Linked DNA regions of Elephas maximus indicus. The protein of the gene in region 1 purifies or fractionates together with the protein of each later gene. This does not show direct contact. Links are inferred from orthologs where the notes say so. Each region holds a gene or a part of one and is shown in the gene's direction. Other genes may lie near its edges. The genes, in order: PSMA5, PSMG2, PSMF1 and PSMG4.

Evidence for each region.
Region 2: the proteins of PSMA5 (region 1) and PSMG2 purify together in Homo sapiens (affinity purification with mass spectrometry; 4 studies listed by BioGRID and IntAct, counting the BioPlex papers as one, with this or other methods). This does not show direct contact. The link is inferred for Elephas maximus indicus from reciprocal best matches to the Homo sapiens genes PSMA5 and PSMG2.
Region 3: the proteins of PSMA5 (region 1) and PSMF1 purify together in Homo sapiens (co-immunoprecipitation; 3 studies listed by BioGRID and IntAct, with this or other methods). This does not show direct contact. The link is inferred for Elephas maximus indicus from reciprocal best matches to the Homo sapiens genes PSMA5 and PSMF1.
Region 4: the proteins of PSMA5 (region 1) and PSMG4 purify together in Homo sapiens (co-immunoprecipitation; 3 studies listed by BioGRID and IntAct, with this or other methods). This does not show direct contact. The link is inferred for Elephas maximus indicus from reciprocal best matches to the Homo sapiens genes PSMA5 and PSMG4.

Annotation. Positions count from the first base shown.
Region 1 is NC_064821.1:172,144,472-172,152,087, forward strand, and holds the start of PSMA5 (proteasome subunit alpha type-5), read left to right. Parts: upstream 1-4,616; 5' UTR 4,617-4,743; coding exon 4,744-4,772; intron 4,773-7,616. UniProt on the Homo sapiens protein: Component of the 20S core proteasome complex involved in the proteolytic degradation of most intracellular proteins. This complex plays numerous essential roles within the cell by associating with different regulatory particles.
Region 2 is NC_064829.1:9,170,367-9,177,234, reverse strand, and holds the start of PSMG2 (proteasome assembly chaperone 2), read left to right. Parts: upstream 1-3,859; 5' UTR 3,860-4,217; coding exon 4,218-4,274; intron 4,275-6,746; coding exon 6,747-6,868. Other genes in the region: CEP76 (centrosomal protein of 76 kDa), read right to left, coding at 307-388, 2,061-2,216, 3,583-3,645. UniProt on the Homo sapiens protein: Chaperone protein which promotes assembly of the 20S proteasome as part of a heterodimer with PSMG1.
Region 3 is NC_064843.1:39,188,567-39,195,638, forward strand, and holds the start of PSMF1 (proteasome inhibitor PI31 subunit), read left to right. Parts: upstream 1-4,050; 5' UTR 4,051-4,200; coding exon 4,201-4,329; intron 4,330-7,072. UniProt on the Homo sapiens protein: Plays an important role in control of proteasome function. Inhibits the hydrolysis of protein and peptide substrates by the 20S proteasome. Also inhibits the activation of the proteasome by the proteasome regulatory proteins PA700 and PA28.
Region 4 is NC_064819.1:44,001,324-44,009,064, forward strand, and holds the start of PSMG4 (proteasome assembly chaperone 4), read left to right. Parts: upstream 1-4,734; 5' UTR 4,735-4,805; coding exon 4,806-4,979; intron 4,980-7,741. UniProt on the Homo sapiens protein: Chaperone protein which promotes assembly of the 20S proteasome.

The DNA of each region.
Region 1 (7,616 bases):
AAGAGGAAGACCTTCAACAAGATGGATTGGCAGGATGGCTGCAAAAATGGGCCCAAGCATAGTAATTCTGAGGATGGCGCACAGCTGGGCAGTGTTTCACTCTACTGTACATAGGGTCACTAGGAGTCAGAGCCAACTCGATGGCACCTAACAATAACAACATATTGCTGTTTGTTTTTATTACAAAAAATTTTTTATTGTAATAAAATTTACATAAATTTACCATTTGAACAATTCTTTGAGTGTATAATTCAGTGGTTTTAAGTACATTCAGTATGTTGTGTAACCATAACTACTACCTATTTCCAGATCTTTTTTATCATCCCAAACAAAAACTCTATACCCATTAAACAATAACTCCCTATTACTACCTCCCCTCAACCCCTGGCAATTTCTATTCTACTTTCTTTCTTCAATTATTATTTCGTGAGAGATTTGCAAGAATCAAAGCTAGTTAAACCTTCCAATATGCTTGAGCTAAAAACCTTTGCTATTTTAAAACATCTTAGAAAATGACTGAGGTAAAAAATTACACATGGGGTGAAATAGCTAACTCTAAAATATCTTTTTATGTAAATAACAAATTGTAGCTACAAGAGATAAATGTGGACAGATGGATGTGGGGGATATAACATTTAGAAAGAGTAAAGGGACCTAGATTGATTTCAAGTCACTTAGAAAACTCTTCACGTAAAGTGTATTTTCTGCCATTTACCCAGGAATGTCTGACATAAAGTGATCCTATGTATTTGTTAACACATCTGAGTGTTTTCAATATTTATTGTACTATTAACTTTACCAAACTGTTTCATTTACTTCTAGTGGAGTGGCAAGGCTTCTACTCTACAGTTGGAAAACTATCATGTTTTATTACAATATAGTTTAGACATCTGTGTTTCATCTCTAAAATAATTATGGCAGCTTTCAATTAGATGATTTTCCTTCCTCTGTGAATTTGCAGGAAAAAAGCAAATAAGCAAAATATCTAAGCATTCTAGTTCTGTATTTGGATGTAGAACTCTCATTAATGCCTAAATGACATTTCTCCAGGGAGCAAAGATCTTTCTCATCTCTCAGTATTTTGCCTAAAAAGGTTGTGAACCACAAAATTTTGTCTGTTTTATTTTTTAAAAAAAGGAAAGAGAGAAAAATACTAGTTTTAAAAATTAAGAGTGGCAATCTGAAATACTGGATTCTTTGCTCATTCACCAATTCACACATATGTTAATCTCTACATGACTAGTACACTTCTAGAGTAATAAATAATTGCTGGCTTCCTGGCTGGTGAAATACATTGGATGCACTTGGGAGGGTAGTACATGCCTTTTTGGGACATGGAAGGTTCGTGTTGTAAATCCTCCCTATCCTTGCCTTACGTGTAATTATAACAAATAAATACTTGTTCATTTGCTAAACAAATATTTCTAGAGCATCTACTATATGCCAGGTGGTAGGCTGAATAAGACACAGTACTGGTCCTCAAAGAGCTTACATTTCAATTACTTCACTTTTACATAACTGATTTCTTATCTCATTTATTTCAAAGAGACACCACAAGGTTTTTAAAATTACTTTTTTTTTTAGGTAGTGTCTACAGCATCAAGTTGCCAACTCCCTGCTTTTGCTGCTACCACCTAAAGTTCTAGGTGCTCTCTTTCATGGTTAGTCTTAGGAACATCACCTGAACCTTTTCTTCTGTCTCTCTCTTTATAAGAAGTCATCAGGACATTAACACACATTTTCAGACACCTTTTTGGAAAAGTATAATTTCTAGTTTATATACAATCAGAAATATTTATAAGTTAGACAATTACAAGTACATAAAGGATCTAGTTTGGGGATGAATTCTTACTGGTTCCTTTAGTTGGACAGTGTCTCCAGTCTGCCCTGATCATTCTGCCACAGTTCATTTTGCTCCAGGATCCATGTGTCTAGCTCTCCAAGATGTTTATGTTACCTTTGTCAGTTTCTGAGTCTAGATCATTCTCTCGTGTTTTTACTATATTCTTTCATTTCTGTCTTCAATGGCTCCCCTGGAAACCCTTGTGGCATAGCGGTTAAGCACTATGGCTGCTAACCAGAAGGTTCGATTCTACCAGGCACTCCTTGGAAACCATGGGGCAGTTCTACTCTGTCCTACACGGTTGCTAGGAGTCAGAATCGATTCAACGGCAAAGGTCGGTTTTATGGCTCCTCTATTATTTTTCTCAGAGGAACATCTGGTCCAACTTTTAATGAAACAATTATTTATCGAGCATTCATGGTCAAAACTTTATGCTAGGTGCTAGATTTTTATGACATCACATCCACTCTCTAGAAAGAAAACAAAATTTCCTTTCTTACCCATACCCAGCTACCTGTGGCTACCCTGAACTTTATATAGAGCACAAACACACTTACCCAGAAGAGTTTCCACACTGAAGTACATCCTGTGATACAATTCACTACCTTACCTGATATTAGTAGGAGCTGTAGAGCATCTTACATCCCTCCATGTTCAGGAAATATTATGTTTAAGTATGTATACCCACCCCAAACCCAGTGCCGTCGAGTTGATTCTGACTCATAGCGACCCTATAGGACAGAGTAGAACAGCCCCATAGAGTTTCCAAGAAGCGCCTGGTGGATTCAAACTGCCGACCCTTTGGTTAGCAGCCGTAGCACTTACCCACTACGCCACCAGGGTTTCCAAGTATGTATACAGTCATTTCAAAAATGCTTGTAAAGAGCAAGTGCTGTGAATTTATGACCAACGTTTATGGCCACTGTCATGGATTGAATTGTGTCCCCCAAAAATGTCTGTCAACTTGGCGAGGTCGTGATTCCCAGTATTGCATGATTGCCTACCATTTTGTGATCTGATGTGATTTCCCTGTGTTGTAAATCTTATCACTATGATGTTAATGGATTAGCAGCAGTTACATTGATGAAATCTTCAAGATTAGATAGTGTCTTAAGCCAATCTCTTTTGAGATATAAAAGAGAAGCAAGCAGAGATATGGTGGGAACTCATACCATCAAGGAAGCAGCACTGGGAGCAGAACGTGTCCTTGGGACCCGGTGTCCCTGGGCCTGAGAAGCTCCTCAACCAAGGGGATGATAAGGACCTTCCTCCAGAGCCAACAGAGAGAGAAAGCCTTCACTGATGTACTGAATGGACTTCTAACCTCCTAGACTGTGAGAGAATAAATTTCTGTTTGTTGAATCCATCCACTTGTGGTATTTCTATTATAGCAACACTAGATAATCAAGCAGCCACATTAGCAGATAAGAAAGATAAATAATACTGTTCTTTTTTCTCAGAAATGTAACAGATCCCTAAGGACTGCTGGTTGGAATTTCTGTTTAGTCTAATTAGTGCCACACATCTGATTGGCTTGGGCCCACAAAACTAAATTTCTACTGAATTCATGAAGGAAGCGAGGAAATGAATGAGAAAAACAGATATTAATACCCAAAAGGCATATCTGTACATTTTCCCCACTACTGAAATGCCTTGGTGAGCTACAAACCTAACCTAGGGCCAAGTGTAATCTTTATTTGACAGATACAGGCTGGGAAAGGTTAAGCACTTGACCAGTGGTATCATGTTAATAGCTGGAAGTGGAACCCTGGCATTTCTCCTTCAGTCTTATAAAACCAAAAAAGAAAACACCAAACCTCTTGCCGTCCACCCTACAGGCAACGTAGAACTGCCGGATAGGGCTTACCAAGGAGCGGCTGGTGGATTGGAACTGCCAACCTTTTGTTTAGTGGCTGAGCTCTTAATCACTGAGCTACTTGGGCTCCTTCAGTCATATACTGCCTGTTAAATGACTTAACTATCTTTCTTGAAAAAACAATTCATTTACAGTGTTTTTATGAAGCTGTCAAATTGCTCTTTCACCCCAAGAGAAGGCAAGCAAGAAGGCATTGTCAGCCAATTCTTCGGAAATAACAGAAAAAGCAGTGCGCAATCTGAGTCTCGAATTTAGAGCTCTGGGTTGAAATGTGTGAAACCTGTACTGGGGTGGAGGTCTAAGGAAAGGCTGGAAAAATTACCTTAATTATGCGGAAACTTGAAGATTTTCTTACAGACCAAAACCTACCAACTTTTCTCAAACAAGCCAGGGTAAGGGTTGGCTAAAGCGAATGGGCTCGCCTACGGCGCCCGCTGAGACCTACTTTAGTGCACCCCATCACTGCGCAAGTCGAGTCCTGGGGCCCTCGTCGCAGCACTGAGGACAGAGACCGCGCCAGAGCTCGAAGAGGTGAGGAGGTAGTGAGCATGCAGTTTGAAAAGAGACCAGTGTGCACTGGTTTGGATTACGGGATCCGGCGAAGAACCTATCACACCAGCGTTCAGACAACCGAAGTCTCTGTATAAGGTTCCTGCGTTGCCACTCTTGAGGGGGGAGGGGGTTCACACCTTCCCTAAAAGGCGAGCTCTCCCTCGCGACTCAGGTTCCAAGCGCCCCTAGCAACCAGCAGCCATTGAAACCGGAAGGGTGACCCTTGTCCCGCCTTCCCTGGACCAACTGAAACCTAGCGGGGAAGCACGTTGGCCCAATCACCTCGGCGAGAACTGCGACCAGCCAATAGGAGACAGGCAGAAGAAGGCGGGCTGAAGGGGTCGCGGACGCACGCGCAGTTGGGAGCAGGGCCCTTAGTCCTGGGGCGTGTGTGGGTGATTTGGGTGCTGGTGGAGTCGTGTTGGTCCTTAGAATCTCCAAGTAGCCACTGCCGCCTTCTCCTGCCCTCGCCATGTTCCTCACCCGGTCTGAGTACGACAGGTCCGTGCGGCGGGGGGAGGCTGGGTCGGGGTTAAGGGTGGGCAGGCCTGGGGCCCAGCCTTGGCCTGGGTTCTGCCATGTCATGGGGCGCCCCCAGGAACCGAGTCTGGCCCGGCCGGGGGATTTCTTGCCCTCCCCACCGTCCCCCGTGTCCCCCGTGTTCCCCTAGAGCCGGGCTTGGGCGAGTTGGCCGCACGTGTCCTACCGCTGAGTCACTGCTGGGGTCCTATCTGTGCGGAAGCGAGAAGCTCCGGTTTGTGCTTAGGGAAGAAGGCAGAGGGATCGGGATTCCGACCTTTCACCCGGAGAAGGCCGGGGGTCACTCCCCTCTCAGTTCATCTTTCTCGTGCAGAGTTTTGACTGCCTTTAAACATTTTTTAAAAAATTTGCTGCCTGGAAGAAAAAGCAACTGAAGATTATCAAATGGATTTGATAATTTTAGTTCCCCTCTTATCTGAGAACAACTTCGTTTTCCATTCCTTAATCTTGGGAATAGAGCATGCTGGGATGTATGGTTCCTTCAAAAGAGCAAAGGCATTCTCAGCTGTGCCCAGATGTGTGAAATGACTGAGTCTGATCTTATAGGAACGAGAATTTAGGGTGCTTCTCGAGAGCTTTCTCATCATGCTGATTTCATTTGACCTAGACTTTTTTTTTTACTTTTTCAGTTTCAAAGCAAGTAAATTTTAGTGTGTTTTTGAAGACCAGTCTAATGCTTTCTAAAGTCAAGATTGTGAGATTGTTGTGTTTATTAAAAAAAAAAAAGGATTTGGGGATATTGAGTAATTTTAAATTGTACATGCTCATGCTGTAGACATTTTTACTTTCAGTTTCTGTTTTGATCAGTTTTCACACAGCTATTAAGTTTCAAAAAAGCCAGGTGTTTTCTTTGTGCTAGGTTGCTTGACAAGTTGTATTTTTTGTCAGGTATACAGTTGCCCTGTCAAAGTTTTATCATCTGACTCATGAAAGATGTTTGTGAAGTTTAAAAACTGACATCTTTTCTTACAACTGTTGTACAAAATGACTTAGTCAAATTTAGCTTCCAGAGCTTTCAAGAGAATCATCTTTGGGTGATGTAATTTTGAGTTAGTGTGCGTACTTGATGAAAATTGTTATCCTTATCAGAAACACTTTATTAAGGTTTTGTGATCATTTGTTTTGTGTTACTCATCTTCGTGTCTTCCCAAGAACGCCTAAGATACAGCCCTTATTCACTTAGCTAATGTATTTGGGTGCTTGCTGTGTACAAGACATGAACCAGGTGCTGGTCATACCCTAGTGAACAAAATCAAGATCCTTGCCCTCATACAAAAGAAACTTGCTGCTGTTGAGTTGATCCCGACTCATAGCGACCCTATAGGACAGGGTAGAATTGCCCCATAGAGTTTCCAAGGAGCGCCTGGTGGATTTGAACTGCCAACCTTTTAGTTAGCAGCCATAGAACTTAACCACTATGCCGCTAAGCTTTCCTCATACAAGAGACTGTCTCTTAAAGAGCTGTTTACAAAAGTAACGGTAGTATGAGACAAACATATTAACATCATAAGAGAAACTCAGATCAACACTATAGGTGTTTCCATGAGAGATTCCATTCAATATTAGGGAATCTTGGAAGACTTCCCAAAGGAGCTCATAGTTAAACTGGGTCTTGAGAAAGAGTAGGATTTTAATGAGTAAATAGTTTTCAGGCAGAGATGGGATAAACATAGGAGTGGCAGCGGGAAAGCACAGTGCTCATCTGGGAAAAGCCCAGTCTGATTGGCACATATGAGACGTGTATGGGAATAGCAGGAGATATGGGGAAAAGAGGATGGTGCTAGATATTGGAAGGTTTTTAATATGAGCTTAAGGAGTTTGAGTCTTAGTCTGTAGGCAACTGTGTGCCATTAATTTTTTTTTCAATTTTATTTTGTTGAGAATATATACAGCAGAACGTACACCAATTCAACAGTTTCTACATGTACCATTTAGCAACACTGATTATATTCTGCAAGTTGTGCAATCATTCTCATTCTCCTTTTCTGAGTTGTTCCTCCCCCATTAATATAAATTCACTGCCCTGTAAGGTTCCTATCTGATCTTTCAAGCTACTGTTGTTAATTTGATCCCCTATAGGTAGTTCTTAAGAAACATAATGCTCAAGGCAGGCATTTTCCTAGTTAAGCTAAATTATTGTTGGTTTTGAGAAGACTTCTGGGGATGTTTTTTGGTTTATGGTTTAAAGATTAGGGTAGTAGTTTCAGGGGTTCATCTAACCTTTGTGAACCCAGGAAATCAAGTTCTCAAGTTCCATGAGAACTTGAAATTCTGTTCTGCGTTTTCCCCCTCTGGATCAGGATTCTTCTGTAGAATCTTTGATCAGAATGTTCAGTAATGGTAGCCAGGCACCATCCAGTTGTCTGGTCTCATGGCAAGGAGGCAGTTGTTAATGGAGGCAATTAGCCACACATTCCATATCCTCCTTCTGTTCCTGAAGAATTCTTCCTCTGTTGCCCCAGGGAAATAGAGACTAATTGTTGTTCCTTGAATGACTGCTTGCAAGCTTTTAAGACCCCAGGCACTATACAAAGAACTAGGAGGTAGAACAGAAGCACGAAAGGAGTTATTATGCCAGTTAACTGTGATGTCCTATGAAAGCATGACCCTAAACCTCCAAACCAAGAAACCAAATCCCATGAAGATTTTGGTTGTACATAAGCAGCCTCAGCAGCTGCCCTTTTTTTTTTTTTTTTGGTTGTTGTAATAAATACGACTGCCACACAACTTTTGCCAATATAACTTTTTATAGGTATAGTACAACTATCGACAGCAATTACAGTAATCAGCTGTGCAACCCTATCC
Region 2 (6,868 bases), on another chromosome or scaffold:
ACAGTGTACTTCTCAGCTAATTACATGACCATTAAAAACATAAGGCTGCATAGCTTTTAATAAGATTTGTTAATAAAATATATGAAGCAGGTGTTTCTATTTTTGCTTCCACCGTGCTATGGGTTAAACCTTCTGATACACTTCATGCAAGACAGAATCTAAGTTTTTCTGGCTGACTGACCACAAATACTTAACTATTTCATTTTGGGGAAAAAAAAACCTGAAATGTTTTCTATTAAATACCAAACACTACAACAAATCCACTACAATCTGTAGCTAAATTAATGCAAAAAACAAAACACATACTTTTTTTTAACAACGTTGATTGTTTATCAGTAAAACAAGCAGGTTGTTTTGGAGAGGTAGGGAGTTCTTGATCAACCTTGTCCTAGAAAGGCAAAACAAAAAAAATCAGAACAAATTAGAAAACAAGTTATGCATAGCCAAGAAAATGCCAATAATGGAAATAAGCACTGAACCAGAATTAGCTAGGATTTAAAAAAAAAAAAACCATTGCCATTTAGTTGATTCCAACTCATAGCAACCCTACTGGACACAGTAGAATTGCCCCATGGGGTTTCCAAGGAGCACCTGGTGGATTCAAACCAATGACCTTCTGGTTAGTAGCCGGAGCTCTTAACCACTATGCCACAGGGAAATCCTTTATTTTCCTAGCATAATTAAAACAATGAAAATAAAATTTTACGTAAAATATAATTTGTAACTCCTAAAAATCTAACACTAAGAAATTGTTTTCAAACAAACAGAAGTGTTAAATACAAACCCTTAATACTTAAAGAAAGCTAAACTTTTTCTAAACCTCATACAACATTTGGTTTATGAATGGTCATGAGCAGGTTTTTACAAGGAAGTGTAATTCACACAGCAGAAGCTGTTACTAGGTCATTTTTTAATAATAAATAGGTTTCTAAACCTCAAAAACTAAAAAAGGATGCTGTATTAAACACTTTATTCCTTCGTGTATTATAAAATCCATTCCAATTTTTACATCAGGTTATCCAGGTATTGAGGTCACAGCTTCTCATTATTGCCTCATTTTCAAAAGGCCTACTTACTAATTATGTACTGAGAGGCTATCACTCTGCTACTGACCTATTTGTAGGAAAAGATTTGAGGGCTCTTAAGCAGTCACACTATTTTCTTAAAGAAATTTATAATTTGTTAGTCATAGAAAATTCACTCCCCAAAAAATGCATTTATTTTAAAAATAAGCTCGTCAATCTAAAAAAAATTACACTATAATCTTAATGAAAAAGAACTCTGCTATGGTGACTAAGATGCACCTGACCTAAGCCATGATATTTTCAACAGGCTCATATGCATGTGAAAGCTGGACAATGAATACCGAAGACTGAAGAACTGATGCCTTTGAGTTATGGCAAAGAATACTAAATATACCATGGACTCCCAGAAGAATGAACAAGTCTGTCTTGGAAGAAATACAGCCAGAGTGCTCCCTGGAAGCCAGGAGGCAAGACTTCATCTCCTGTGCTTAGGACATGTTATCAGAAGGGACCAGTCCCTGCAGAAGGACATCATGCTTGGCAGACCAGAAGGTCAGCCAAAAAGAGGAAGACCTTCAGTGAGATGGACTGACACAGTGGCTGCAACAATGGGCTCAAACATATCAAAGATTATAAGGATGGCACAGGACCAGCATTTCATTCTGTTATACATAAGGTCGTTATGAGTCTGAACCAACTGGATGGCACCTAATAACATGATGAAGTAATGTGACTAAAATATGTGCATTTAAAATTGTAGACCTGGAGGATAACGAGAAAATTCTGTCAATATACAGACAGGAATGTGGAATCCCCTCCAATTTCACTGATATTATAGCAAATAATACTATTTGCTATATTCGTAGAGCTACCTTATACTTGAAAAAAAAAAATACTTGAAACTAGGGTATTACTAGACAAAAAGGTTTAAAGCGGTTTTATTAAAAGGAGGCCCCAAATATGCACCCTATAAACATTGTCAAGCATGAGAACAGACTTACACTGTCAACTTTTTTTCCCTAAATCATTACTCACAGTAACAAAATTCAGTTCCTTCATCACATCATCAATGATTCCTCTACGTCTAAGGGCTTTGATCAAATCTTCTGTTGATAACTGTTGTTGATCAGGTGCCAGTTCTTCACGTATAGTCTCAGCAAGGATTTCTCGTATTCTGCCGTGGACATCCATCTACGTAGAAAACTCACGTTACAATTTTTTTTCTCCTGAAGAGCACATGTATCAAAGCAGCCAAATATTACCAATTAACCAGTTTCTTTCTAAAATACTAAATCAAAGTAATAAAGAAAAAAACGGGGAACAATCAGAACAAAATTAAGGAGAATCTTGACACAACTTCAAAACCGTAACTAACGTCACTGATCAATCTGTGTGGAAATTGTCAAACGGGAACCTAACTTGCTGTGTAAACTTTCACCAAAAACACAATAAAATGTTATTAAAAAAAAAAATAACAGGGATGTTAGAGACTAAACTTAGGAAATTTGGGTTTCAGGCTTCTCCAGTTAATTGTAAACTTGTTACCACAATTCAGTGAAAACAAGGGCAAGTGGTTTCGTTGTTTTTAAGAAAAAAAAAAAAAGATGAAATTTTCAGTACAAATTTTTTAGAGTCTCTACTGGTCATCTGTTACTTTTTCCGCACAAACAAGACTCAAGTAAAATATGTATCTTTTAAAAAGAAATACAGTAACATCAAAAGAACCTGGAGTAGATAAATCAACGTTTGAATTTATTTTCAACTTATTAGAGGTGTAACCTCGTGCCAACTTATTTACCCTTCCTGAACCTGCTTCCTCGTCTATAACATGAGGAAAGTATTGCCCTCTCACAGGTTGGTGGTCAGGATTCGATGACAGATGCTCAACACCCAGCACAAAGCCTGGCGTACAAGTGCACAACACATGGCAGCTTTTATTAATATTTCAAATGCCCGGTTTTTTCAAATCAGCTTATTGCATTCAGTTGAGTGTCCCGAACATTCCGTGTTCTCCTGCTCCAAAGCATCACAAATATTTTTGTTACAGACTTTAGCGCCTTCTCTTCTATGACTTTTTGAGAACTGCTGGTTTAAGCTACCCGCTCAATTTCAACGGCACCCTCGTGTTTCACCCTTAAACCGATTCTGACTTTTCAAGTCTGAGTATAAACACGGGATCCAAGCGCAGGTTTGACTTCCTGCAGCGACTCGACGGACACTTCCTGTTCACCACGGTCCCCCAGAACCCGACCCGTCCGTCAGCGCAGCCCGGCACTCCCGCTTCCTCAGCGAGTCTCTGTCAGCGAGGCCAGAAAGCTCTCCTGGCTGCAAACCCAAGCCTCGCCCCTCCGACCTCTGCCCCTCCGACCTCTGCCCCTCCGACCTCTGCCCCTCCGACCTCTGCCGCTCCGACCTCTGCCCCTCCGACCTCTGCCGCTCCGACCTCTGCTCCCCCGACCTCTCCCGCTCCGACCTCTGCCGCTCCGACCTCTGCTCCCACGGCCCGGCCCGAACCCCGAGGACCGACACTGGCACGGAGGAGCCCGCGCGCCCTCACCTTGTTCAGCTGCTGGTGGATGAGCTGCTTCAGCTCCGAGGCTTTCTCCGCGGGCAGGGACATGTCGCCGGCCGCGCCTCGCCACCGCTCCTACCCGGCCTGGGAGTCCCAACGGCCGGCGTTCCGCCGAACCACTACCGCGACAGCGCCTCCGAACGACGACCGCGTCAGCTCCCCGCGCGCGCTCTAAGGCCGGACGGGGCGGGGCGGGGCGGGGCGGGGCGGGGCGGGGCGGGGCGGGGCGTCTGGGGCGGAGCCGGGGAGCGGAGCGGCGAGCCCCGGGGTGCCCCCAGCGCCGCCTGAGCGGCCGGGAGCGGGTGTCCCCGGGCCCCCGCAGCCTCCACACACCAGCCGATGAGCCTTTCCAGGGTCTCCGAACGTGTTGCCCTTCCGTTTCCCGTTCCCTCGCAGTTTCTTCCCGCCTTCCGCGCAGGCAGTTAAACTGGAAGGCCTCCGAGGACCTGGCGCCGAGGGGACGCAGGACCCCGCCGGCCCGGCCGCGTTCGAGTCCTGTCTGCTCCTTTCTCCGCGCGTTCCCGCTGTTCCCGCTCCGCGTTCCCGCCGCTCGGGCCGCAGGCAGGTCGACTTCGCCGCCGCCCCCGCTCTGTCCCTTCCTTCAGCCCCACGTTGCGGCCATGTTTGTGCCCTGCGTGGACCCGGCGCCCGAGCTCACGGGCTTCACCCTCTTGATGGTGGGTTCTCTGGCGAGTTCTCGGCGGCCCCGCAGGGCCACGGCCTCCGGAGGCGCCGGCGGCTTCATCCCCCGGGCTCGGGCCGCGCAGGGTCGGGGGAGAGAGGGGCCGTTTCTGTGCAGTTGTCAGCCCTCACTGAAGGGGCAGCAGAGGCTGTCTGTCGCGGGAGGCGGCGGTTCTCGAGAGCCTTCGTGGACCTGTGGGCTTGTGCGAGTCGGTAGTCCGTCTGTTAGCTGTGACACGAGCTGCTGGGCTGCGTGGGTTGTACAGGGTATCGTCCTCAAGTGTACCCTCAGAGGTCTTCCCAGCTACTTCTAGGTCGGTTTTAAGCTAGCAAAGTAATGCTGTTCTCCAGAGGTTCTCTCTGTTAAGAAACCATAAATGTAACCTTAAACCATGTCGTTTACTAGCTTGAATTTAAGCAAATGGGAGTTTACTGTAAAAGTATTAAAATCAGTGGTAGTAATAAAAGTCACTTTTTTGCCAGTAGCTAACACGGTTTTATCGCTTGTGCAGTTGGCCACGTTCATGCAGTGTTTCAGTAAACATTCTGGCACGTACGAATGTTAGGATAAGACTTGTCCACAGGAGTTCGTAGTCTACCTGGAAACGCGTCAGTGGACGAGGGCAGTGAGTGCTGGGGTGCAAGTTTGAAAAGATTGCTGACAGGCCCTAAGACTTGTGGGGAGGAGGAGTGGGCACAGGGCTTTTTCTTCAAATGCTTCCTAAAGAAATTAACGCCCAGAAAGTGAGGTATTGGGGGCTGGGGGGCAGGAATAGGGCATTTCAGGAAAATGGATGTCTACCCCAGAGACACACCGGCATGGGGGAGCTGGAGGATTTGGACTGGGAATGACTCATTGAGAGATAATAGGCTGCAGGCCTGTGAGCCCAAGAGACACCTTTGCAGAAGGCGCTGTTGGAAGTGGTGTATGGCTGAAGAGTGAACAGCCGTCCTTTTGTTCATTAAATATCAAGCACATGAAGCCAGAGAGGAGAGTGTTGAAAGAAGGAGAGAATACCTGTTTGTCACAAGTAGGCGAATGTGTAAGACGAGGAAGTGTGCGCTTGGGATTTAGCAACATGTGGGATGTGGGTGGTAACCTTTGCAAACAGTTCTCAGTGGAGAGGAAACCCATGCTGCAGCTTATGGAATGAGTTAGAGGATGTGGAGATTTGTATGTATTCGTTCAGCAATAAAATTCCTGCTCATGTTTCAGAGGACAAAGGTTAGAGGTATTGGCTTTGTGGGGACACAGAAATGAGATAGAGGGGCATGTGAGGACCAGGCAGGGCTGTAGTCTTTGTGGAAGCAGACTGCCACATTTTTCTCCCACGGGGTAGCTGGCAGGTTCAACGTACAGGAGAAAGAGTATAACCAAAGAAACAAAGTCTTGGAGAGGAAAAACGGAACTACTGGAGGTTGCCAGGGTTGATGACAGGTGTGAACAGTGGGAGACCACTGTGAGTGGCCCAGCAAAATAGGATGAAGGCCGGTAAAGAGCAATAGTTGGAAGTAACTCCATTAAAGAGATACTTTAGAGAAAGAATCAATGAAAATCAGTTATGTGTTAGATAGAGCTGGTAAGGGAAGAAGGTTCCTGTTTTAGGTGATCTGGTAAATGGTGTTGCTCTTTTCTGAAATACAAAATATGGGGACAGGTTTGGGCAGTTGTTTAGTTTTATACATGTTGAATGTGGGGTGCCTGTGGCATAACCATGTAGAGATATCCATTAGCTGCTAGAGCTCAAGTAAGTGTTCTCAGCTGTAGGCAGAGATTTCAGTTGGCTGTTTGAAGTCATGGGGATAAGTATGTGTGTGTTTAGTGTGAAAAGGTCACTCTAACCTTTAGATGTGGGCAAAGAAAGTGGTACAAGAAGACCCAAGATTGCTTTTGTACATACCTCACAACTTTCCCACTTCCTAGGATGTTCATTCCCAGGTTGTTGTATGCCTCTCTTCCTTACTCCTTCAGTTCCATAGTAGTCACTTTGCACCTGAAGTGAGTCTTCTTTGACACTCAATTTAAAATTACAAACAACTGCACACAGGGACATATACACTCACGTTATATCCCTTTTCTCTCTTTTATTTTTGCCCATAGTACTTACTACTATATATTTTACCTATTTATTTTGTTTATTGCGGGTAAACCACATCCTCACTAGAAAGGAAGCTCCACAAGGGCAGTAATTTTTTTTCTGATTTTTTTTTTTTTCCATCCCCAATGCCTAGAGCAGCGTTTGACACATAGTAGGTGCTCAGTAAATATTTGGTAAATGAATTGTGTGAAAGGTGGAGGAGGCCTCAGCTGACATCACAGTTATAGATAATGAAAGAGTCAGTATTTAGCTGTGATATACCCAAGCATAAGCGTTCAGTACTAGTACTATGATTATTATTTTCAGTCTAAATTTTAAAAGTGTTGCTAACATTTTATGACTTATCGAATATATCTTTTATGATTTCAGCCAGCAGTATCCGTTGGAAATGTTGGCCAGCTTGCAATAGATCTGATTATTTCCACGCTGAATATGTTTAAGGTTGGTTACTTTTATACCGATTGTCTTGTGCCCATGGTTGGAAACAATCC
Region 3 (7,072 bases), on another chromosome or scaffold:
TTCCACCTGCTTCCCTTCTCAACCACTTGCAAACCCAACAGGGCCAACTGAGACTCTTGCTGAGGGAGGTAAGTCCACAGAAAGTGCTGGGTGGACCAGGGGCAAAACACAGACAACCTCCAGCACCAGGGGAGCCCCCCATTTGCTCCTATCCCTAGAGGACCTTGGGATCCAGGGTGGAGGGAACACAGTCCTGACCCTCAGAGGACTCACAGCCTAGCGCATGAGACAGAGCTTACCTCATTCTCTCAATACACAGGTGCTAATGCTACTCCAGAATGGCTGCTGGGTCACAGACTAGGCTAAGGAATGGCTTATCCTTAGCGGGGGCACACCAGACACCGTGTGCCCCGCTCATCCTTCAGTATTCACCTCTAAGCACCAATGGCCGCTTTCTGTAAACTCTCCAACTCTCTACCTGAGGGATTTCTCTGCTCCCAGAAGCAGTCCTCAACTGGGGGCAGACAGGAAGGGAGTGAAAACACACCCCAGTTTCCTCACCCTCAGTTCGGATACTTCTGAGACTGTTCCATACTGCCTCCCAGAGTTCCCCAGCAGGACTGAGCTTTAGTTGCCCATAATGGTAAGTGGCTTGATTAATACCCTCTATTTTTTTTTCATTGGTTGCCTTCTTTCCTTATCTCACTTCCCTACTCCCCTATTGCTATTTCCAGAAATCTGTTCCCAATAAGCCACTTGCACTCAAATCCTGTCTCAGCATTGGCTTCTGAGGGAATCCAAACTAAGACAGGGATAATGATGTATAATAGGGAACCAAAGTTCTGTGAGGTGCCTGCCCCAACCAATTATATGCAAAGCAGCAGTGGTCCCAGGGATGGGGTTTGGGGGGCTGTCTGCCCACTGCAGGCAATGAGAGGGAGCTTTGTCTGTAAAAAACTTAAAAGCAGTAATAAAGCTGACCAAACGGTCTACTTGTTATTATCACCCTGGGCCAGCAATTCTAAACAATTTTTTGTGATTAAATTCTCCTCCTCACTGAGGCAGATAACTCTCACTGACCTCTGCCCGCCCCTTAGCACCCACCCCGAGGCAAAGTGTACTCAGCCAGTAATTCGTAGTAGGCAGAGAAGGTAAGGGAAGGCCTCACTAGGAGGCAGCACTGACCTCTAATCTCACCATTCTAGCTGCATTTCACAACTCTAGGCCTTTGCATATGCTATTCTCTCTTACTAGAACACCTTTTGTTCTTCAGTTTACTCCCAGAGCAGGCAATGAAGGGGAGCATTGTCAGTAAAACACGTAAAAGCAGTAATAAAACTGACCAAACGTAGGTCTGCTTTTTGTTGTTGTTAGGCCAAAGGTTCAAGGAAGCCAGGCATCTCTTCCTCCAAGAAGCCCATTCCTCATCCCCAGAAGTTAGATCTCTCCTCTGGGCTTGCACAGACCCCTGTGTGCCCATCTGTCAAGGCAGTTGTCACGCTAGCTACCTTCGTCATTTCTTACCACTAGATCGTCAGCTCCATAGGAGCAGGGACTCTGTCTTGTTCATCTTGACCTGGCTCCCAGTAGGCACTCAGGAACAGGGCTGCCACTGGGTGTGTACATTTTTTGCAGTATATAGCCTGCACCACTGTCCATGGCAACCCAGCCTCTGGAGGCTTGTTGACTTAATGAATGAACGAATCTGTGGGAATTTGCCGTTTCTGGGGAAGGACACTGCAGGCAGAAGGGAGTGCGCAAAAACAGGGAAGCCTGAGAGTGCAGGGCTTCTTGGTGGAAAGAGCAGATAGCTTTATGCCACAGATAGTACGTATCAGGGAGAGGTTCTGGGACACCACCCTCAGCATCACCCAGAGTGTGGTCAACATACCTGCACCCCACCTCAGAGCTGCTTGGCCAGAATCTTTGCAGATGGGGTTTGAGAACCTGGGCATCCCAGGGTAATCTCAGGAACATAAAGTTTGGAGAGGCACAGGGCCAGCTGATTGGTGGACTGTGAAAGGGTGAGACTGGCCTGATTTGGTTGAGCTCAGGATATGAATTCATTCATTCATTATCCACTCATTCATTTAATAAGCATGTATTGAGCCGTATTGAGCCCAGAAGACCCTCAAGTACAGCTGTGAACAAGACAAACATGGTTCCTGCTCCCTTGTCATGGTCTAGTGGGAAGACAGTCACTAAATAAGCAAGCAAATAAATGAATACCTAATAGTGTCAGGTTATGATTAATACTTTGCAGAAAAGAAAACAAGGTAAGGGGTTAAAGAGTAGAGGAAGTTATTTTCAATGAGGTGGTCAGAGAAGATGTCTGAGGCTGGTGGGTGAGGGAAGGAGTCATTTAAATGAAGAAGCAAATCATGCAGATGTTTGGGGGAAAAGCAGTGCAGACAGAGAGAGCAGTACATGCAAAGGCCTAGAGAACTAAACATGTGGAAGAACATACACAGTAGGAAGCTACTGCAACAGTCCAGGTGTGAAATGCTGGAGAATCAGACCAGGGTGGAGGCAGTGGAGTTGGTGGGAAGTGGCCAGACTCAGAATATATTTTGAGGGTAGAGATGACTTGCTTCGCTGTTAGATCAGATGTGGGTGTGACAGAAGGGAAGGGAGGCAAGGCTATTGCAGCCAGGAGCGCAGGGGTTGAGGAGATAGTTGAAGGAGATGAGGTCCAAGAGGGAAGTGGCTGGGAGCAGACCATACGTAGGTCCCTGCAGACCATGAGGAGGTCTTTACTTTTCCTTTGAATGTTATGGAACTTTGAGAGGCTTTTGAGCAGAGAGGGGACATGATCTTGAGTTCTAACAGACTCTTTCAGGCTGTGGAGAAGATAACAGACTGTAGGGGGTCAGGGATGGAGGAGGGCACTTCAGAGGCTGATGCAGTCATCCAGTGAGAGATGATGGTGGCTTAGACCAGGGTGCTGACTGGAAGGGAAATCTAAATTTATTTTAATAAAAACTGTAAGAGGATTTCAAGAAAATTATTGAGTAAATAATGGTGGTGAAAATCATGAAGGTGGTAGAGAAATGATTGAAATTTGAGAAGCTCCGGTAGTGAATCAAAGGTCCCTGGGTGGTATAAACTGCTAGCTCGACTGCTAACTGAAAGGCTGGCTGTTGGAACCTACTCAGCGCGGCTGGGAAAGAAAGGTTTGGCGGTCTGCTTCCGTAAAGGTTACAGCCAAGAAAACTCTAAGAAGCAGTTCTACAGTGTAACACATGGGGTCGCCATGAGTAGGTATGACTCCAGCGTAGTCATAGGACAGGTAGTAGTAGCAGCAGGTAGTGGATCAGGATAGAGGTCAGCAGTTGTGCTCTTTGGGGGAAGGGGCTTCAAATCTTTGAGTAGTTTTGTCATCTGCAAAACGGGGACAATAATGGAACATATCTCATAGAGTTGTTGAGAGGATGACGTAAAGGTTTTTGGCACAGGATCTAGCACACAACATACGCTTACTAAACGCTATCCTAGGAGCCAGACTGCTGTCTCTCCCACTCACTGAAGGGCCGTGTCACCCTAGTCAAATCACCGCTCCGTGGGTATCACTAACACCAATATCGTAGGCTTGGGTCATAAAGATTAAATAAATGAACACAAGTGAGGCATTTAGAATACGGCACGCAGCAAGCACTTCTTAACTGTCAACTATTATCATGACTATATTTTAGGCATATTTCCTTACCTCATTGATTAACAGCTCGGCTGCTAACCAAAAGGTCGGCAGTTAACCCACCGGCCGCAACGCTCCTTGGAGAAACCCTACGAGGTAATTCTACTCTGTCCTATGAGTCGCTATCAGTCAACTCGTCGGCAACAGGTTTGTTTTTTTTGTCAGTTTCTCCCTTTTGCGGATGAAAAGTCTGTGGCTCTTTGTAAAGGATTCTCATCACACGGACCCAACGCCCTGAGAGTAACGATCCAGTCCGCTGCGGGCGAGATGGGGATTCCAGTTTTGAAGGGCCGCGCCTCCAGCCGCCAGCCCAGTCCGGAGGTCGCCGGAGGAACCTTAAAGCGTGGCGCTCTAGTTTCCAGCCGGGACCGCGCAAGGGCGCCCGCGCGACGACGTACTTCCGACGGCCCCGCCCCTTCCCCGGACAGCTCCATTTTGGCCGTAGGTGGAGATTGAGCTAGAGCGAGCGGAGCAGAGAAGTGTGGAGTCGTCTGTTTTCGGAGTGCTGCTCCGGCTCACCACACTCTCGCCCTTCTTTCTCCCGCCCGCAGAAGCTGCGGGCAACCATGGCGGGCTTGGAGGTGCTGTTCGCGTCGGCGGCGCCGGCCATCACCTGCGCGCAGGACGCGCTCGTCTGCTTCCTGCACTGGGAAGTGGTGACGCACGGCTACTACGGCCTGGGTGCCGGCGACCAGGTACGATGCGGAGCCTGGGGGGAGGGAGGTGCTGTCTTCTTCTCAGACCCAGAGGACCGGAGGCCGGTCCAGAGCGCCTGCTGTCCCCGCCCTCAAGTCCGAGGCCTGGGGCTCAGGACACCGTTGGCATAGCCTGCGGTTCACGGAAGTGCCCACCTGCCCCAGCCCACGCCGGAGCACCTCACAGCACAGCTGGCACAACATGCTTTGTAAACTCAAGGACAGAAGCTCCCATCAGCACAGCCTGGCAGTCTCCCCAGGCCACGGTTGTGTGGACCTGGCACCGGGACTGGCTGTTGCTCCCTGAGCACAGCTCACCTACCTGAACTTCGCCCAGCTTCTTACCATACAAGCTTAGGGGAGCAGAATCTGCACACATACACCCTCATACTGTTCTCGAGCCTCCAACAGACACCCAGATCCGCGCACGGGTATGGAGATCAGAGCTTTGACCTTAACACAGCCCCAGCCCAGAATCTCGTCTTCATTCCTCAGCGTGGGTCCGGGGAGCTCCCCTGCTCTTCACTGAACGGCCTAGTTCAGACCTCACCGCTGAGTGCACACATACACCGTGGGTGTGAGGGCCAGGTAATGTTCCCTCCCCAGAGCTGTCCTACAGGGCCGGCCACTCTTGTTGCCCACTGACCCTCTGCCCACCCCAGCGCTAAGTCTGCCTGTCCTCTGGGAGATGGGTGTTTGGATTGCATACCGACTCTAGTGTATTTTTGCTCCGCTCCGTCTCGTGGGATGGTATCTACTTTTTCTTCTTAAGTGGCATGGAGGCTCAGGTTACACTTGTCCTCTACGGACTTCTGCTGAGTCTGCTTTCATTCACAGTAGAAGTTACTTGGAGAGGCGTCTTCTCTGTTAGTTTATTTAAGAGGGGGTTTAATTTTCTGGGTTGGGGCCAGCAGACTGCTCAGAGGGCCAGTGTTTGCCAAGCTCAGAGCATGTTTGTGTTCCCTCTTCAGATACCTCCTGCTCCCCACCCTTGTGGGGGCGATAAGAGAGGGGAAGGTCCTGAGAGAGTGTGTGTGACTGTATCATTTCTTGATAATTAAATAGAAAGCTAAGTGGTCTACTTTTTTGTTTGGTTTTGTCTACTCTGGTACAAGTTGTGTACACAAAACTTAATTAGTAGAGCAGCGCAGCCATTGCTTCAACAAAAGTCCAGTATTGGAATTTCTCACTTGAAGTCAGCACCTCATAAGAGCTTTATTAGCAGTGTCAAGTGGTTTAAGTGGCAGGGGATAGAGATTTATAGACTTAAATTAGGGAATTTTATTTTCTGTTATGGGAATGTAAAGATTATGATGAAAGAGGGAAAATGCCTCCATGTGCATTGCTTTGGGTGCATTCGGCCCGGAGGCGCTGGACTGAACCCATTGCCACTGATAACTGGTTCCAGCCCCCAGGATTTTGCCAAAGGGGACACTACCGTTACTCTCTTTGGGCCAGCCTGGTGGACCTGGCAGGGAATAGCTCCCCTCCAGACTTAGCCTAGTCAGCCAGAAGCTCTGAATTCCAAAGCCAGATGCACCTCACTTGCTGTGACCTTGGACAATTCTCAGCCTTAGATTTTTCATCCCAGGGAGTTAAACTACATGACCATGCACTTTGGCTACTTTCCAACCTTCGCATTCTGGGAGGTCTGATATTTGATGTCAGGGCCTAGAGGGTGGTTAAATGCTGTGTTTGGCTAGATATCTCCAGAGCCATTCCCTCTCAGTTGCACCTGTTTCCCCGTGTTGGGGCAGCCCAGGCCGGAACATGGGTTCCAGTGTAGTGAGAGGTTATCAGCCTCTCCCAGCCTCAGGATTATCTCTTCCTCTGGAAGCCAGAGGTGATGGGGTGGTGAGCAGACCAAATTATCTATATTTCAAGAGAGAGTTCTGGTGGATTGAGTGATGTACGTGTGAAGATGTAATATAAACCAAAGGGCCCTCGACAGAACAAAGACAAACCATGTTATTAAATTTCTGGGTCCCAGAGTAAACCCTGAATCTCCAACAGTAAACATGTTACCGGGGCCCTGGTGGCACAGTAATTAAGAGCTTGGATGCTAACCAAAAGGTCGGCAGTTCAAATCTACCAGCCACTCCTTGGAAACCCTATGGGGCAATTCTGCTCTGTCCTGTAGGGTCGCTCTGAGTCGGAATCGACACCACCGCAACTGACAACAACGAACATGTTACAGGAAGTCTGCTGAGGGGGTGGGGCGGGTGTCGACTTTCTCCCTTCGCTGAGGGGTTTGGTAAGTTTCCCTTTGGTTTTGTGGCTCTCATTTCTGTACCTCAGGCCTGCGAGTTTCCTTGTCGTCCAGCCAGATTTTAAACCCTGCCGGCTGTGACTGCCTAATGCTTCGCGCAGTGAGTCCCTGAGCACCAGGGGTGCCCAAGAGGAGAAACTCGAAGTTCGCGTTTCCTGCCCTCCCGTGGCCCTTGGCCTGTGGCATAAGGCCTGGCTTTGCTGGCCCTTGGCTTTTCCCTTCGTCCTTTATCTCTGATGCCACTCTACCCCCCGCCCATGGACACCCGTACATGGACACAGGTCTCCCCAGGTCCGCTGCTCCGTGTCTAGCTATATAAATGTCCATCCCTGAAAAAAATACGTAGTCTGTTCTGTGTTTGTTGTTTTATACAGATGATGCTAGGCTGTCAACCTTGATTTTTCTGAACTTGTCTGTAAATTATATATTTTACCTTTACCTACAACGGTACACAGATAGATCCAGATCATTCCT
Region 4 (7,741 bases), on another chromosome or scaffold:
ATTTTTAAAGAGCTTCAGATATAATATACTACATAATAATTTTGAGATATAATACCATATAGTTAGAATATACCAAGATTATCAAGTCTCTGAATATCTGAATAGTAATAAAAAGACTTCACAGGTCATCAGAGTGAATGCCCTAGTTAAACCATTGGCTTTGATGCTAGATTCAAAAAAATAAAGTTGTGGCCAGGTTACCAATAAAGAAATAATAATAAAATTATGGCATAATATTATGCATTTGCTATCTAATATTAGGCAAAAACATAAGAGGAAATATTAACATATAAATTCTGACCCAAAGAGAATCAGATGTTTCTCTTGATTTTGACTACACATTCCATGTAATTTATTAGCAAAAGCTTTTTAGCACTTTTATAAAAATTTTTTGTGGCTTTCTATGAAGTTTCAGAGTCATCAAGAGTTTATTATAGGTCACCATGAAATAATACTTAGGTTATTTAACCAAAGATCTTAAAGTAAAAACATTATTTAAAAAAAAAAAAATTATTATTATTTTTAAAGTCACGTGGCTTGGTTTTCAACTCAGGAATCTTATTCTAACGAGAAAGCAAACCTCTGTCTTTGAGGCAGATTACACAAAGAATAAATTAACTGTTCAACTCAGAAATCGAAGACAATTTTGTAATTTTAATAGCGAGAAACCCAATTCTTTGTTTTATATGCTATTTAACATTAAAGCTCTTAAAAAATCTCATAAATTAGACCATTAAACTTTAGTCAGATAAAATTTTGGACCATATCAAATAACAAAATTCTTTTTAATAAACCTCTTAAATATTGTCTTTTTTGCATATCTTACAGTACTTTCTTTTAAAATCGCAAAATAAACACATTCATTAGCAGACATATATATAAAAATATATATTTTACATATAATTACATATATCCTTTCTCTCGTGAAATAAAAAACAAAAGTATATAAGCTTTAATTATGACAAATATCTATAAACTCAATTTAACATCAGTAAGTTAACTAAAAGGTCCTAGAAATTATTTTAAGCCTGTATGCCATAAAACACAATTGTTGTTGAAAGAAAGTCTGTTTAAACATTCTAAGTTTTCATTCAACTTTTATTATTTCCCATATTTTCCCAATCTAATTTTAGCCCCTAAAGATTTTATCAACTGGCTTTGGAAATCACAAAGTCTCTGTGATTTCTATTTTTTTTTTTTTTTGGCTTCTTAAAGTTCCCCTACAGTAAAGAGAACTTGTTTACTGTTCTTTTATGATTGGGATCCACCCAATTTCTGATAACTATGGGAACCCTGGTGGTGTAGTGGTTAAGTGCTATGGCTGTTAACCAAAGTGTTGGCAGTTCAAACCCACCGGGACTCCTTGGAAACTGTATGGGACAGTTCTCTGTGCTATAGGGTCAGCATGAATCGGAATCAACTTGATGGCAATGAGTTTGGTTTTCGTTTTTTTATAGTAAGTTTCCTGGAGCTATATGACCTGGGAGACTGGGGACCTGAGGGGCCTGATGTTGCCCCCACCCTCCCTGTTTTTGACTCATGGTAGAAGATAAGATTAGGCCATTCCGATTCATTTACATATGTTTAAATTGATCTAGACATTTTGAAAGGCTGTCTACCCAGTAATACCAAAACTCTTTAGCAATTCTGTAAATGAATTAATCAATTCTTGGCTAGCCATTTTGTCCCCCTAGGCTTGTCCTATGCTTCCTTTTACCCACTCTGAAACTACCAGTTGTACGTTAAGACAAAATTATTCTTTTTCCTTAAATAAAATATGTTGCTTAAGTTACTTAGAAAGGTTTTACCTTTAAGATAGACTTAACCATAAAGTTTTTCAATATAGCTACTAAAAATCTAAATCATAAGACAGACACAAGACAGTTTTTCTTGGATGAGGAAAAGAGCTGAGGTTCTAAGGCAGCCTTACAAAAAAACAGCAATTCTCAGCCATCGCCTCCAACCTGATACAAAACAGAAACTTAGACACAATGCTCTAGACCAAAAGCAAGCTCTCAGAACAGAATGAGAGAGGAAGACCACATGAACTCACTGAATACCACACAAAACAAGGATATGGGCATTCTAGTTTCTTAAAGTGTATATAAATATGAACCCTAAACCACTGTCTCGGAAGCAGGGGACAAATCCTGGCTTATTTATCAAAGATGTTAAGCTCTAAGGTTCAAACTTTTGGTTTCCTTCTTTTTGAACTTAATTCATTCTACTGGCTAGAGACTTAGTCTCTTATTTCAGACCTTAAATATGCTAGTTCCTCCAACTGGAAATTACTTTAAGGTAGCTACTGATGATTTTAACATTGTGATTATTGAGAAACTGTATCATGAAATAGGTACAGAACTATCACTTCACCCTTAAATTTCATAAAACAGATCAGGAGCTACCACTTCTCCCTGTGAATTTCATAACACAGGTCAGGAGCTGCCACCTCCCCTTAAAATTTGGCAAAACAGGGCACTATTTTCCAGGTTTTCTCTGAGCCACAAAAAGAAACCTAATGAGGAAGGCCTCAGGGTTTGGACAGTGTTTAGCTTAGACCAACATGTACCTTTATTATGCGAGAGTTTGCTTGCAGGTGGCAGGCAGCCTAGTGCTCTAGCTTGTGTCACGACCACCTTATCCCCTCATGGGAGTCTTTAAAATTCATGATAAGCACCAGTGACCACCCTAAAGGCTTTTTACTGGTCATACCTGCCAGAATTTTAGTGGCTTATAGTGGCTCAGAGGTCTTTGAAAATAGAATTACCTCTTTAATGTTTCATATACCCAAATCCAGACCTAAACTACAGTTCACCAAGAGTTACTAGATATCACTCTTAAAAGGTCAAGCAAAAATGTAAGAAAGATCCTCCTTAATCAAACAACTGGTTTTAGAAACAAATATGCTAAACAAAACTTAAGAAAACATGAGGAAAAGGAAAAAAAAAAAAAACAAGCAAAAGCTCGTTTTTTGAGAGCACTCACCCCACCACTGTTAAAGGGACATGGAGTGCAAATGCTTGGGTCCAGAAGATAGGGTCTCTCTTTTTGCCGGCTTCTGCTCCACAGTCCAGGTCTCCTCGAGGTTGACTGGATTCATGGTTTTAGAATCCCTGCAGCAATTACACCATTAACTCTTGTAGGGGGAAAACACCACAAAGTTTAATAAAGCAAAAAGAAAGGTTTTATTCAGTATATAAAGGGGCAAAAGTAAGAAAGGGACAAGCATGCTGCCAGAACCATGTCTATTTGAGTCTCTGTTCCCAGTTCTTAAGGATGTATCTTAGCAGGCCGGATTCTGGGACCCCTTGAATGTTCCCCATTCTCTGGATATACATACTTACACACCCACACAACCTAATCTAGTGCACCACTTTAACAGGTACCTGAGCCTTGTTATGCCCTCAGCAGTCAATTCGTCCCGCTTCTTTGGGACTCTTCTAAGGCCTTAGCTAGGAATTATCCTGTTACTTACCAAATAACCTCAGATTTCTAACGCCCTCAATGGTCAATTTCTCCCATTTCTTGGGACTCTTGTAAGGCCACACCTAGGTACTTACCAAATAACCCAGGCACATTTCATGTCTCTCACAAAGCCAAAGATTGGGTCCCAGGGGGAATTGCTTTTCAGAGCTGCTCCAAGGTCTCCAGGAGAAATCTGGTTGAGCCAGACATTGGGGTCAGTCTGTTTTCTGATCCACTTCAGGAACTAAGCAGATGGCTCCTGACTGGCTTGGCAGAAATGTTGCTGGGTGGAAAACCCAGGTTCTTGCTCAGCATGACTCTTATTGGCCAATAAACAAGAGACCAAGGTGGCAGAACAGGAAAGGAACCTACATTTCATTGTACAAGGAAAAAGAGACAGTCCGAGCTGCTGCTACCAGGACTGCCCACCAATTGCAGACAGGCAGTTACTTTTAAAGGTCGTTTACAAGTAGGGAGTTCATACAAATTACATCAGCAACATTCTTAATCATATTACAAAGGCCCAATGGGGTTTACATTTAACCTCCGAGCAAAAGCAGGATTCAAATGCAAAGCTGGGCTGGGGGACACTGGGTGGTAGGAGGAAAGGGAGAGGAGGTGAAGCCCAGCAAAGGAAACGAGAGTTTTCAATACAACACTGTGGGAAAGGAAGCCAGGCAAAGAAAACATGATTTTTAATACAGCACTGTGAAAGCTGGCTCAAAGAAACCGGGTCTTGAGAAAGGTTGAAAGGTTAGGCTAAAGCTCGTGCTTGTCCACGATCCAGTTCAGGGGGAGAAGGGAACTGGACCAAAAACGGTGCCTATACATTCTCCTGACAACTTATTTAATGCAATTGTCCTGGATGCCATTCTTAAGGCTTCCTTCCAGTTACAGGGCTGCTAGGATGAGGATTCGATAAACCAAAGCTAAGCAAAACATATTATGATAGAAAGTAGCTGTTCTTAAAGGAACTTAATTAGAAAGCGATTGTCTCTTAAGGGCGACGTCTCATGACCCCTAAAGACGTTATGGCTGGCTTCAGCAGTTTTTACTCAACCAGCAAGGGATGGGGGGCGTAGAGGGAACAACTGAGAGCAAGTTCTGCTGGAAACCCTGAACATCCGTGAAAGCAAGTGCTCCCAGCAGAGGCCAGACTCGCCCAAGAACAGAAAGCCAGCGGCAGGCCGAGGTAAAGCCCCTGACCCCAGCGGAAGAAGACCGCCAGAGCTTCTGCCCCGGGAAGACCCGCCCACCCGGGAACCCGGAAGTGAAAGGTCGCCCGGCGTCCCCGCCGTCGCGCCTTTCTGGTCGGACCTACGGAGGCGGCGCTCGCGGGAATGGAGGGGCCGCAGGCGGTCACGGGCGGGGACGTGTCCCTGCACAACTTCAGCGCAAGGCTGTGGGAGCAACTCGTCCACTTTCACGTCATGCGGCTGACGGACTCGCTTTTCCTGTGGGTTGGGGCCACGCCGCACTTGCGCAACCTCGCCGTCGCCATGTGCAACCGCTACGTGAGTGCGAGCGGAGGGGCGGGGTCGGGGGGACGAGGGGCCGCTGCGCGCTGGGCGTGGGGAGAGGCGTGGGGTCGTCGGGGGCTGGGCCGGCGGGGATGGGACAGCTGCGCGCTGGGCGGGGGGCGGGGATAGGGCCGGGGAGGCGGGGCCGCTGAGCGCCGGGTGGAGGTGGGGCGTGGATGGGGGTGGGGCCGACGTGGCGGGGCCGCTGCGCGCTGGGCGTGGGGAGGGGTGTGGGGCTGGCGGGGGGACGGGGCTTTGGGCGTGAAGGGTGTGGGGGGGGTGCTGGAAGTAGGGGTGCGGGGCATGGGAGGGTATGCTGGGTGTGGAGAGAAGGGTGGGGTCGTGGGGGGCGGGGCCGGCGGGGGCGGGGCGCAGACAGGGGTAGGAGGACCCTCAGGGGTCTGGTGTCTGGGTGCGCGGGTACCCCTAAATTACTCCTACTACATCTTCTAGGTCCGCGGGGCCCTCGGGGCAGAAAGGCCCTCAGGAACTCTTGTGGTGCAGACTTAGGGAACCCCGGAGCAGACCCCCAGCCCCGTGGGCCATGGAGGCCGGCCGTGCCCCTCCCGGTGAGACAGTGGGAGGCCCTCTACCTTTCTGGCCGTCCCTGTGCTGGTTTCCTCACCTTCCATCCACATCTGTGTAGGTTGTTTGGAATGTCCCAGAGTTTTATCCTGCAATCTTTGGTCTTTTCTGGTCACTCGCTCGCTGGGGATGCTGCCTCTTAGGGCTCATACTATCTATATTTTGATTTAAACTTACATCTCCAGTACAGATCTATTTCCGGGAACTTCGGACTTGTGTGTTTTCACCGGAACATCTAACAGGCATCTCACACCTTCCACATTGAAGACCAGACTCTGGGTATTTCCCCCGAAAACCGGTCCATCCCACAGCCATCCCCCTCTCGGGGTGCTCAGGGTAAAAACCTGGCAGTCGTCCTTCAGCCCTCTTGCTCATACGTTCCATCTTCCAAATGTTGGTGAATTCATAAGCACTGTGGTCAGTCAGAGGTCCCCGGGTGGTGCAAAGTGTTTGTGCTGAACTACTAACCTAAAGGTTGGAAGTTTTAATCCACCCAGTGACGCTGCAGAAGACAGACCTGGTGTTCTGCCTCCATAAAGCTAAGAAAACCCTATGGAGCAGTTCTACTGTGTAACACATTGAGTTGCCATGAGTTGGAATTGACTCCACAGCAGTGGGCTTGGTTGTCAGTCAAAACATCTAGAATCCAACCATCCATCACCTCCTTCACTTCTCCCACCCTGAGCCAAGCCTCCATCATCATGGCTCCATTCCTTGCTTCCACCTTTGCTGCCTCATAGCCAGTTCTCCGCAGGACAGCAGATGGTAGTTTTAAGACTGAAGTCAGATATTTTCACTGCTCTCCTCAGAACCTTTCAAGAGCAAAGGCAGGGTGCAATCCAGAGACTATCTCAAGGCTCTACATGACCTGGCTCCCTGTTGCCCCGCAGCTCTCATCTTCTTCCACACACTCTGACGTCCTTGCTCTTTTGCCATGTCCAGCATGCTCCATTCGCTGTCCCCTCTGCAGTGTGTTGTCTGTCTCCCCGACTAGAATACATGTGCCGGTGACTGTGAGGTTTGCCTGTGTTGGTTTTGTATTCCCAGAGCCTGACACATGGAAGCTGCTCATGAAATACTTGTTGGAAGAGTGAATGAATGAGGCTCCATATCCCTTGGTTGTCCATGGTTTATGGGGGGAGACTACCAGTACCCCAAAGCCAGTGAGGAAGTAGGATTGTAATCTCTGAGGGGTCACGAGGGGCAGTGGGAAATGAGAGGAGTGAGCCTTTCTATCTGCAGGACAGTACCCCTGGACAGGACCCAAGAAAGTTTCCAGAAGGAGACAGCATCTAAATTGGGATACTATATCCCTCTTTTACCCTGGTGGCGTAGTGGTTAAGAGCTATGGCTGCTAACCAGAAGGTTGGCAGTTTGAATCCACCAGGTGCTCCTTGGAAACTATGGGGGCAGTTCTACTCTGTCCTGTAGGGTTGCTATGAGTCAGAATCAGCTCGACAACAACGGGTTGTTTTTCTTTGGTTTTTCCTCTCCTGTGTGTTTTTTTTACCTCTGTTTCTGGTGGGTACTGGCAGGTGGGCCTTTGGGCATGTGGCAATTCCAGGTTTTCTTTTCATTCAAGGAGTCAGTGGGTTTAGGAGGTCTGGGCAGTGATGGGCAGGGTTGTGGATTTGGAGGTGTGGTATCCACCTTACATTTTTTTCTAGTCCTGAGGCTTTAGTAATAAACAGCAGGCGAGGCCATAGGCCATATGAGGCCATCTGGGAGCCCAGGGCCGCAGGACTGTAAGGTCAGATATTGCTTACTCGAACCCAGTTTCAGATTCTTTGTGTCCCTTTGTGCAGTTCTGGTTTGGGGGGCAATAAGTAATGGCTCCTCCTGCTTTGGTGGTCTGATCACTTGGTAGTCATAGCTACCAGTAGTCTGTATTCCCAGCTGGAAGTTTAAAGTCCTCAAGGGTGAGGCGGGAAAACGGACAGGCCTCAGTTAGTAGACCTGTCAGAGGTCCATATCCACTGACTGGTAACATTGCATGCCTGGACATCCATGTGCACGTATCCGTTTGTATCCATGCTTTAAGGTCTTTTGAGTATACACCTAGGAGTAGAATTGCTGGGCCCTGTGGTGATTCTCTGTTTAACTCTTGGAGGAACTGCCAAACTTTTCCACAGTGGCTGCGGTATTTTATAGTTCCACCCGCAGTGCACAGG